2 linked regions of the Xenopus tropicalis genome follow. The protein of the gene in region 1 purifies or fractionates together with the protein of each later gene. This does not show direct contact. Links are inferred from orthologs where the notes say so. Each region holds a gene or a part of one and is shown in the gene's direction. Other genes may lie near its edges.

Evidence for each region. The genes of interacting proteins can lie anywhere in the genome.
Region 2: the proteins of rnf25 (region 1) and ube2e2 purify together in Homo sapiens (affinity purification with mass spectrometry; 3 studies listed by BioGRID and IntAct, counting the BioPlex papers as one, with this or other methods). This does not show direct contact. The link is inferred for Xenopus tropicalis from reciprocal best matches to the Homo sapiens genes RNF25 and UBE2E2.

What each region holds. Positions count from the first base shown.
Region 1 is NC_030685.2:13,921,194-13,927,029, forward strand, and holds the end of rnf25 (E3 ubiquitin-protein ligase RNF25), read left to right. Parts: intron 1-790; coding exon 791-860; intron 861-2,675; coding exon 2,676-2,747; intron 2,748-3,023; coding exon 3,024-3,122; intron 3,123-3,553; coding exon 3,554-3,643; intron 3,644-4,590; coding exon 4,591-4,725; intron 4,726-4,809; coding exon 4,810-5,214; 3' UTR 5,215-5,762; downstream 5,763-5,836. UniProt on the Homo sapiens protein: E3 ubiquitin-protein ligase that plays a key role in the RNF14-RNF25 translation quality control pathway, a pathway that takes place when a ribosome has stalled during translation, and which promotes ubiquitination and degradation of translation factors on stalled ribosomes.
Region 2 is NC_030682.2:46,325,247-46,331,613, forward strand, and holds the start of ube2e2 (ubiquitin-conjugating enzyme E2 E2), read left to right. Parts: upstream 1-2,749; 5' UTR 2,750-3,064; intron 3,065-6,367.

The sequences.
Region 1 (5,836 bases):
CGAGGGTCTCCTTTTGGTACAAATCGGCCACCCCAGTTGCAGACCTGATTATAACTGCAACCCCATTACTTTAAAAGACAGTAATAGGATTAATTCACCTTCAAATTATCTTTTATTATGTTCTAGTATTAGCAATTCTTAGCAGCTTTTCAGTTGGTCTTCATTTCTTGTTTTTTTATTAGTTTTTGAATTATTTGCCGCCTTCTTCCAACTGTTTCCAACTTTTAAATGTGGGTCACTCACCCAGAAGCCAGAAAACCTTGATTACTTAGCATTTTGTTCAGACCTCTCCTATTCATATTCTCACTCAGTGGCTCAACTATATATATATATATATATATATATATATATAATCGCGTGGTCTGCTGTACCTTAGTCCCTCCTCCCTCGCCCCACTCCTACCTTAAATATAGTGGGGCAGGAGGTGCAGCGCGGTTGGGGAGGAGGAACCGGTTACGCTGGGCCTTTTCAAAATATTTTCCTGCAGGGGGGCTCAGCGTGACCAGGTTGCGCTGCTGTTCTTACTCATAGCAGTGCTTGGTTGCTAGGGTAATTAGGACCCCAGCAACCAGATAGCTGTGAAATTCCAAACTGGAGAGCAGCTAAACAAAAAACTAATTCAATAATAAAAAATGAAAATCAGTTTCAAATTGTCTCAGATTATCCCTCTCTTCACCATACCATTAATCTAAAGATGAACAAAACCTTTAACCATTATACCCATAATTTAGATTTTCCCCAATGTTTCATGATTTGGAGATAACAAAGAACTCTCCCTCTTCCTTTGCAGCATTGTCAGCTCTCTGCGCTCCGTGGCTGAGCAGGGGGTCGGCTGCCCAATTCTCTATGAGCTGATTGAGGTGAGCTACAGACATATAGAATAACTACAAACCCCTTCAGTCTTGTAGGCAATAATGAAAATTATTATCTTTAAAAAAAGATTTTAAATGTCCCTGCCAGAAGCACAATAGGAGCCAATCACAGCCCTGCAGTCACACAAGCACAGACAGGCTTCAGTTCTCTATCAGGTCAGCCTAGCTGCTGATTGGTTCCTATCCTACAGCTAGGGGCATAACTATAGAGGAAGCAGCAGGGGGGCTCTGGAGTGTAGGGGCCCCAAATAAATGAGCAATTTCAATATATCTTGGTAGAACAAGAATGTTTGGTAATGTTTTGGGGGCCCAGTAACCTCTAGTTAAACCACTGCCTACAGCGCAGGGTGCTGAATACCGTCGCCCCCCCCCCCCCAGCCTGGGAAAGGAGGAAGCAGGAAGTGGGGACAGATGGGTGGGACCAGAAATCTGCAGATATTTTCAATTAATCAGCCTGAAACAACTTTTCTCAGCACATTCCTTCTATATTTAGAGAAATGTAATGTATTGACACATTCTTGATTTTCAAACAATGTTTCCTTGAACCTGTCTATAATTATAGAAAGCTATACACGCAGTGATTGTGCCGTCCGTATATAATAGGCTCTCATACTTCCTTAGTCTCTTTAATTGACAGAAATAGATGACGGTCCCTCTTTCAAAATAGGATTTGTTTCCTGGAAAGCGTAGATATGCTTCACTTAATGAACTGAATTTGCTAATAACCAGTTTCTCCTGTAGAAGGTGCAGTCGGGTGTGGTTGGTACAATTAGGTAACCGCGATACATAATACATGTATGTGATACACAACAATCCTTGTTAAATGTGCTCAGCAATATCGTCAGTTATAATTAGTGCTGAGTGGTGTCATTTGTGTCACATGACTCGCTGATACTGATGTGTATTTTATAAATAAAAAAAAAAATACACTGTTGTAAGATATGATGATATTTGAGGTCACCTTAGCATTCCATGACCTGCAGCCTTGTGCCTTTATATGGGCACAGAACCCCTCAGTGACTGCTAATATCCTTATCATTTACAGTAGGGGGTACATTATCCCTTATAATACATGAGTGATACTCAGAGTTCCCTGTATAACTCAGCCTGCAGCCTTGTGCCTTTATATGGGCACAGAACCCCTCAGTGACTGCTAATATCCTTATCATTTACAGTAGGGGGGTACATTATCCCCTATAATACATGAGTGATACTCAGAGTTACTTGTATAACTCAGCCTGCAGCCTTGTGCCTTTATATGGGCACAGAACCCCTCAGTGACTGCTAATATCCTTATCATTTACAGTAGGGGGTACATTATCCCTTATAATACATGAGTGATACTCAGAGTTCCCTGTATAACTCAGCCTGCAGCCTTGTGCCTTTATATGGGCACAGAACCCCTCAGTGACTTCTAATATCCTTATCATTTACAGTAGGGGGTACATTATCCCTTATAATACATGAGTAATACTCAGAGTTCCCTGTATAACTCAGCCTGCAGCCTTGTGCCTTTATATGGGCACAGAACCCCTCAGTGACTGCTAATATCCTTATCATTTACAGTAGGGGGTACATTATCCCTTATAATACATGAGTGATACTCAAGAGTTCCCTGTATAACTCAGCCTGCAGCCTTGTGCCTTTATATGGTCGCAGAACCCCTCAGTGACAGGGTAGACACCAGTAATACTCTTCTAGCTGATATGATGCTGCTTCTCCCCCAATAGACAAGTTGATGGCAGACAAGACAAATAACATGCTTGACTTTTTCTTTGTCTGACCATATCTCTTGCTCCGCAGAAAGGAAAGGAGATGCTGACTGACAGTAATATCCCCCGTGGCCATTGTGTCATCTGCTTATATAACTTCCAGGTGAGCAAATGTGCGGGTAAGATACAAATCCTTCTTTTTATGCACAATAATGGGCTGTGATTGTTTTTACTTGTATGTTTGTGTTTGGCAGCGGCATAGAAACACATGTACAAAAGGGATCCTGTTTGACTGGTTGAGAAATGCCAGAAAAGATACAATGTGACATGTAGAATGGGGGTGCAGGGCTGTCTTCTTGAGTCAGGGTGAAGAGGGGCTTCTCTTCAGCTCTATGTATCCGTAAGCTGCACAATGCAAATCCGTCTATTTCATCCACAGGAGGGGGATTCACTGACCAAGACCCCATGTTTCCACCATTTCCATTCATACTGCCTGGGTCGCTATGCGCAGCACAGTACAGAACAGAAGCAGATGGAGGTAAGTTACAAACAGTCCCATATCATCCTGAGCCTGATGCCTGCAACTGCAAGGAAACCGTTCCCTTTCCGAGTCTATAGCAGTGATCCCCAACCAGTGGCTCAGGAGCAACATGGTGCTCACCAACCCCTTGGATGTTGCTCCCAGTGGCCTCAAAGTAGTTGCTCATTTTTGAATTTCTGGCTTGAAGGCAAGTGTTGAATGCAAACAGAGCCACCTATAGGCTGCCAAATATCCAATTATAGCTCTTATTTGCACCCCCAGGAAGTTGCTCCCCAACACTTTTTCCATTTGAATGTGGCTCACAGGTATAAGAGGTTGGGGATCCCTGGTCTATAGTAATAACATCTTTATCTTCAAAAAAACATATTTGTATTCCCTTTCCTATTTGTTCCTATATCTAGTGTCTATAACGCAGATTGTCTTTTCAGGAGCTTTCAGTTTTGTGCCCCGTTTGCCGCGAGGATGTGACCTGTGACATCATCAAACTACAAGCAGCTCCGCCCCCCTTGCACCCAGAGGTAAGTTCACCCGTCGACACGGTTAATAGCGAGTCATTGGTCAGGCTTCAGTAGGAGGCCGGGAGTATAAATGGTCATAATTGTTGTTATTGTGGGTGGTGTCTGATTCCCAGCTCTGTGTCATATTATGCTCCAGTAAAATATACCAACCCCAGCAACTAAAGACTATATTCCGGTAGGTCCTGAGTATCTCAACGTTGTAATTATGTGCAACAAAAACCTAAAATATAATGTAAAATAGCCTATGCCTCCAAGATGGTACTTGAAGGTAGATGGTAGAAGGAGTCCTCTTTGGTCCCTGTTGTCAGGGTCAGACTGGGGTGTTCAGACTGACTCCTGCTGCCCTCCAGCTCCTCCACCTCCTCCACCCCATGAGCACCTTATACTTAATTTTGCTGCAACTGGGGAAATGACCGGGGAGGGCAGGCAGGCAGGAATCAGGTCTGGGCCCCCGAGAGCCAGGGCTCACCAGGTTTTTTTTCCAAGTGTCCCACCGGCCCAGTCCAACCTGCCCATTGCTTATTAACTTATTAACTATCCTTCCCCAAAAGCACAGTAGGATGTAGGTAGCCAATCTCAGTCCTATCTTCACCTAGGGCAGGGATCCCCAACCTTTTTTTACAGATGTAAAAGTGTTGGGGAGCCACACAAGCATAAAAAAAGTTCTTAGGGTATGCCAAATAAGGGCCGTGATTGGCTATTTGGTAGCCCCATATGGACTGCTGGCCTGCAGGAGTAAAACTCTCTGGGCTTCCAAAACTTGACTCCAAACCAGAAATGTAAAAATGGGCAATTACTCTGAAGCCACTGGGAGCAACATCAAAGGGGGTGGTGAGCAACATGTTGCTCACGAGCCCCTGGTTGGGGATCAGTGACGTAGGGAAATATAAGGTGCAGTCCCCTGTCAGGTCTGGCGTCAACTGATCTGCTGTGTTTTGTCTGCATAGGAGATATATACCCCGGATTGTATCACCCTGGAGAAACAGAAGGAGCTGCATCAGATTTACCAGGCTCAACTCGCTAAAGGAGGGATAATTGACATTGAGGCAGAAAGGAACCGTTTTTTCATCAGCATCCAAGAGGTACTGAAAGGGAAATGGGGAGGATGTTTGATAAATAGTACCTGTAGAATGCCTATAATCTGCTTTATTTTCTTTGTTTTCCAGCCACCACCACAATTCGATGCTGTCCTTGAACCCCAGCCAGATGAAGTGCAGTCACCTCAGCCAGAGTTAGAGCCACCACCACCACCACCAGTGGAGTCCAAACTTCCCTGCTCCAGGGGCCACCCAGGCAGGCAAAGACCAGGGTACAGGAGTCAGCACTACCGGCCTGTACATACTGATCACAATGCCAACAGCCATCTGCACCACGGCAGAGGGAGAAAGTTCCACGGCAGAGGGAGACCTGAAAGATACGACTTGAGCGGGGACGGTAAACCAGCCATAAGTAGAGACCACGATGTGCCGGGACGGGGGAACTACAGGGGCCGCAATTTTAGGACTGGTGCAATAGTCCAGCCTCCTCCCAGAGGCAGAGGGGAACACTATATGAAACACAATCCCCTATAGCACATTATTTAACTGCCAGAAAATGTATTCAAAAAAAGAGATTATATGATTAATAAACTGAGGCAGCACCATTCCAGGCCGAGGTGCAATAATCAGACACTTGGTGCTGCGTGAACGAAGGGCAGAAATAAAGATTACGGGGGAGCAATGTTGCAGGTTCGGTTTGAATTGCCAGATGGCTGTGTAAATTATTGGCTGATCTGGGCCAAGGCTGCGTGCAATAAGGAGGGAGTCTAGAGGCCAGGGCATGTATGCACTACTCCAAAATGCGAGGCTGAACTTTATCATGTGGTTCTCTATCCTCTCAGCAGCCGTCTTAAAGGCACAGACTGAATCGGGACCCACATGGTAGTAAGTTCCCCCCAGTGCAGAAGGCTTTACATTGTGAGAAGCCAAGCAGTGCTTTGTGTGTGTGTGCGCTAATAAAAGCAACCGTGTGATGTGCTTAAAGAAATAGTGCAAAACGACATGAGGGCCCATTGTGCTCCGCCGAGTGCAGTGGATAAGGGGATTCTATTTATCAAAATAAAGGATGTTATTGCCTGAAATTCCTGTGTTTGCTTTAGTCAATGACAGTCCCCAGTCCCTTTTGTGCTCTTGTATTACAGCCCTGCAAGTCATG
Region 2 (6,367 bases), on another chromosome or scaffold:
AGTCATGTTTCAAGTACAATAAAATGCTTTATTATATATCTTCCTGTTTTCATTTTTCTACATATAAAGCTGGTAAAGGGTACAGAACAGAGAATGGGGAAGGGTATGAGTACAAAGGGAACTGCATGTAGGGAGTAGATATTACTAAATCATTATAAACAGTTACAATAGGTATGGCATGGTCACAAGCAGAACTAGAAAATACAATGATCCGTGATTAAATATACAAATCTAAATGTGGATAAGGAATAGTTTACAATAAAATTTCCTATATACATTGTCTCTAAAAAGTGTCCATGATCCCTTTCCGACACATGTAGTATGTTATGTACCTAAACTAGTCTTTATAAGATTTAATGAGCCACTATAAAAAGTTTGCCGTAGAACAAAGCTAAATACTGCTGAATACATATGCTGACATCATTTTATGGTATCACTATGTCCAGGCACTGTTGATACTAAGTAATGTTACATTTATGTTTCTCATTCAGCAGCCAAAACCTAGAGGCATACTTATAGTCGTTTTTGAGGCTGCTAGGTTACATCTCTCTTTTGGCTTCCTTTAAATGATTATAACACAATAAGACAATAATTAACAGGAGGTGATAAGTGGTTCTTCTATTCCTTAACCTATCCTTAACCTTTTGTATTTTTTGTGGCTTAGGTATTGGCAAATTCTTGCAATGTAAGCTATCTAAAAGAGGTTACTGCTAAGACTTGCATATACCAGGTGTCTACAGTGTAATAGTCTCAGACACATACTAAAGAACAAACAGTAGCAGGAAAGTACAGTTTTAATTCCAAAATGCACTTTGCAGAGGCCTTTAAAGTGGCTACTTGACCAAACAGCACTCAAAGCGGTCACCTTTGTCACAGATACATCTGCAGAGAAAAGGCCCTGTCTTGTGTGTGCAGTGGTAGGCACAGTATTGACCCACCAGCATGCAAACAGTGTGGATATTGGTGCAACCATGCACAGTTTAGTTTTTCTGCACACATAATTTGCACCATGTGCACACTAATGGGCCAATACCATGCCTGCCAGTTCTCACACAGGGTGGGGCAGATGAAAGCAGATCGGCCTTTTCCATGCCGGGGCATCTATGCCAGTGAAGAAAATTCTGTGTGCCATTGGCCTAAGCCATTATTTATTATCTCCATCTATGTTGGAGATTGACTGATTGTTCTGTCTGGGCCAGTGATCTTTAGCTCTTCAATATGGTATTCACAGCTTATTTAATGTATCTGACTTTCCACAATATACATGATTCTGTGTGGTAGTTTTCTTTTAATATTGGATAATGTTAAAATTGAATGGATTGTAATATACTCATAATAATAGCTACACAGTTCTATACTAATTTAAATCATTGCTAAGAAATACCTTTTGAACCTACACAATAGTTTTGCTTTCCTTTTTATTATGAATGTCTGGGGGTGCAATTTCCAGTGGGTAACCTGCTTTACCGATTTTTTTAAAAATAAAAACCATGGGGCCTAAGGGGCAAAGGTTGTTGATTACCTTGGTCTGTCAGAAGGTGAATAGCTTCCTCTGCGTCTCTCACTGAGAAATCGAGACCTGATGGTGAAACTGGTTTAGCACAGATAAAGAGCCGCAGAAGTGCCAGGAAAGTTCTGTTTATACAAGGAAAAATCAATAATCACTCTGGAAATGACAGGAATTGACAGGATTAGTAATAAACAGAATTTCTTCGCAGGCTATTTTCAATGTTCAGCTGCACCTGGAGGATTATGAGCTGGCCAGCCCTGATGCACATGAATGCTGCTGTGCATATATCTGTGTTGTTCTGGCACATATTTATGTAGGTTAAGAACACAGATAGCCATATCCCTAAGCCACTTCCTGTCTAACTTTTCAAGATGTGTTTTTCCTTGTGGAGTAATATAAATTGAGGCAAATATTCAACTAAATACCCTCTCCCCTCTTTCATTACTTCCTGTAATAAATAGTTTTGGTGAATAGTATGCAAAGTAACCCCCCAAACTTAAACCACTGGCTGTAATAGGCAAATAAATGAAATATCATTCGTGGCCCTGTGCTGTAACACCTGTGGCCTTTGCCACAAAAAAATGACATCGCAGATACTAATAAAGATTTAAAATTGATATGGAAACAATTCACTCATGCTCCTAACCACCAATACCCTGTAAAGAGCAATTACTCGCTGGGACAGTGCCCTGGGAAAACTTCTCATATACATGGAAATCCCACAGCACTAATGCCTTGCCAAACAATATGTGAGCCAGTGGCCCCATGTCCATGATAGGAAAAGCAAGAGAGAGTTATTCAGGGCCACATTTGCACTCGTCTGGGCAACCAGCACTGTGTATGCCTTGGCACGGCGCATACTGCTCAGCACTCCATAGCCGCAGCCACATAGAATATGAAGGACCTGCTGACACAGCAGAGGAACCCTGTAACTTCTACATCATTGCTGAGTAACACACAGCTCAGCTTTATATACCCCTTGAAGTTATTGCAGCCCTACGTTTTCTATTTTCTGCCAAGCGGTGTCGGGAGCGCGCACTGAAACACTGACTCCATGTGCTCGCCCCCTCCCTCACGGCCTCTTTTCTCCCTCTTTACATCACACTCTATTTGCGCGCTCCTGCACTCCTTGGGGCGGGTCCATCGACGGCGGTGGGCGGAGCCGCTAGGAGTTGTTCTGAAGAGGCAGCCAGAGAGGGCGGCGACATACATACCGTACTAATACCCGCCCCTTTTGCGCGTGTCCGTGCTAAAATAGGAGCCTGTGCTCTGGATGTAGGGGGAGAGCTGCTGAGAAATAGGGGATTTACCATATGTAAGCGGGGCGTTTGGCTTAATATTTCTTGACGACTAGCCCTACGCACTTACCTACACAGGTGCCTTGGGGTCCGGGGTGACTGTGGATGTGTGTCCGGACCCCGAAGAGGTGTGAAAAGAGGACCCCCCGCCCCAGGGAGACAGTTGAAGGAGGAAGAAGAGGAGGAGGAGGAGGTCAGGAAGAGCTGGGTTCGTGTGTTGCACCCACACTTTGTTCGGCACCGGGATTGGGGGCAGGTAATGATTTGTCTGTGCTTTCATACAAATGATTGGTCTCCCATATAAAACTGGCTGTACAAAGGGCACAACAGGATGTATAGGTGTTACATGTGCCAAAGATTGGGAATGCAGTGTATAGATGTGTCTATGTGACCCATAACCTATATACAAATGTAAGGGTACATCAGCTCCCACTACATCGTGTTGTGCAGCCTACAGCTGGCCAGATGGGCTACCATCCTACTAGCCAGGCTAGGACTTTCATATACAGATGTGCTGTACATTAGGGAGGGAACCATGTTACACACACCAAGCTTCACTCAGTGTAGATAATGGAATCTTTTCTGCATTCAGTCAGTCATGGTTGTCCAGCCTGCTGCCCTCATGCTGGGGTTTCACTACAACTCCCAGCATCCCCCAGTATGCTTTGGCTGGTGGGGTTTCTTGGAACTATGGCTAAACAAAAGGTTGAGGGCCGACCATTTATAAGCAGAGGATGTAGCCCCAGACAAGGACATATGTAAACAATTCAAGTTCAATATTAGATTCTGTGTTCCAAGGAGCTTGCACTCATTCTTATTATCATTTTAGTGTGTTGGTAGTGTACAGTTTGTACATTATTTGATCCAGTTTATTAGCAAATCTGTAATTTGTGGATAGTGTAGCTCAATGCTTGCTCAACCTATTGCATGTAGTTGGCTAATTATCCAGTAAACCACATGTACAGGGGCTGGACTTTGCTGAAATGATGATGTCATATAAAGTCTTTGGAGTCCATGAGCCTGCTGGGGGCCATGAAAAAGACTTGGAGATCTACATCTGGCTTGTGGGCTTCCAGTTGGACAGCGGAGGTGTAGCATATACATCTTGATTTTGTTTTCATTGTGCACTCAACTAATAGATATGTGTGCAATACTGACAGTGTAACCAGTGTTGGATTGATTAAAACATGTTTTGCCTGACTCTTAAATGGGAATTCTGTTGTACAGTATGTTGACTTGCTTTACTTGTTCAACGTGCAGGTGAAAAAAGTGCATATATCATTATATCATTTCCTGTAATGTTAGTTCTCTTAGTATTAAATGGCCTAAGATAGCCATGTGCACAAAGATCCACTTGTTTAACAAGGTTACTAAATGAGTTGACTTTTGCCTGATTTTGGGAATATTGAGTGACCCATATTTGTTCTGATTTTATTTTTTCTTCCTGGCTAACAGAAGAATCACCCTAGGGGCCTATGCAGACACTTCAACCCAATAAAGACTTCTTAGATGGTATAATTTTCAAACCAGGGCAATAGATAAATGACTGATCTCCAACCCAGTATTGGAGGGCTTGGCTTGGAGTGGCTTAATCAAAGACAGTGTTGGATTTTTTGTAGTCATCTTAAAGCTAATGATACATGCTTTTCAGCTGGTTTACATGTAGGGTTGCCACCTTGCGGGTAAAATTGATCCTTTATGATTGTAATATTAATAGGGACAATAGATAAAAAAAATATAGGAAGGCTGGTATTTTTTTCCAGTTGGTGCTTTTAGCCAGCTGCTGAGCACCCATGATTTATCATCCTAAGACTTAGAGGGAGATTTATCAAAATGTGAGATTAGAGCTAACCACAGAAAAATTCACCCACTTTCTATTTATTCCTGAGGGATTTTTAGAAACATATTTATCAAATGATGGACTCTAACTTTCACCCTCTGATAAACATGCTTCTAAAAATCCCATAGGAATAATTATTTGATAAATACATTTCTAAAAATCCCTTAGTAATAAATAGAAAGTGGGTGAATTTCAGAGTCAGCTGTGCGACTACACTCTTTATAGATATAATCTATATATCTATATCTATATATATAATTATAAATGTAATCATTTTATGAATAAGCAAGTTTTTTTTAAAAACAATTGATTGTGCAAAGAAAAACCCTGCACAATGGGAAAAAAACAGTAGATACCAGATAATAAAACAACTTACTAGTATTTTCTGACTTTGTTTTAGCTGAAACCCTGGATTAAATGATCATATAATCAGCCACTTAGTGTCTGTTACTTGCATTTTCATAGCATCAAGAGCAAAGACACATTTAGCTACTTAGTAGCAGCTACTTGTCATGGCTACAGAATGCCAGAAAATACCCTGCCATATACAAGACTGAGAATTGCCTCTGCTAAAATACACGTAGAGACAATTATCAGTAAATTATCAGCATTGTCTGTTTTTGTAGCTGCTACTAGTAGCTCCAGGTGTCTTCACCCTAAAGGGGATCATAGTGACCCATTTTAAGAACTTCCTAACTTGATAACTCAAGCCCTACAGAGAGAAAATGAACTGAATAAGTCACATAAATAAAGGAAAATATGATTGGCATGTAGCAATTTAAAAACATCCAGTGTTGTGCAGAATGCTACACAGACCGAAAGCTGCAATGTCATGTATAAATCGCTATGTGAGTCTGATGGAGAGATGCAGCTAAACCATGAGTGGGATAGCACTGTTCTTAGCAATAGGCCGGGGATAGCCAATTGTCCGCAGTCAGTGAACTGCATCTCCCTCGTGCATGTAGAGACATGATTGCAGTTAAAGTGGCTTAGTGGCTGAAGCACCAAAAATACTCTGTGCCATAATCATGGTTTCTTATTGCCCAGCATCTAAAACACATACAAATTTGATTTCAGACATACCAGACTACATGTATTAAAATACAAAATGTGTAGTACTGTGTGTATGTACATTCCGTGATTTACAGCCATGTGGCTCGTGCAAGCTTTGTGTGGCATATGTAAATCTCTTGTATGATTTGAACAATTTGATAGAACTACAGTATTTATGTCAGTTACTTTACAATGTGAACATTCAGCTAATCTATACCACCTGTGGATGCACAATGTGCATGATATAAAATATATTGTGTGTAAGTATATATTTTCTGGTTTTAAAATGTGAAAAGGATTCTGAGTGATTGAATTGTAATCTCATGATAGGTATAGCAAGTAAACAGACCTCATGCTCTGTGCTTTAGTAAACCAACACTAGAAGAAATGCACAAGAGTCATATGGCACCTCTTTATGAGTGTGGTTTTACATTCCACCCACCATTTGCTTATCTAAGATAAGCACATTTGATCAAATTGATGTGTACAATGTTATAAATAAAGCTTTCTTTTTACACTTTCCATTGTAGGAAATGTTTTGCTCCTTTCACCCCCACAGATGCAGTAATTGCAAGCAAAAAGCAGACATCCTTTTTAAATGCTATTTCTTGCAATAGAGTCAATTTACCATGATGAATGTTAAGCAGGAACGTATAAGAACATGTT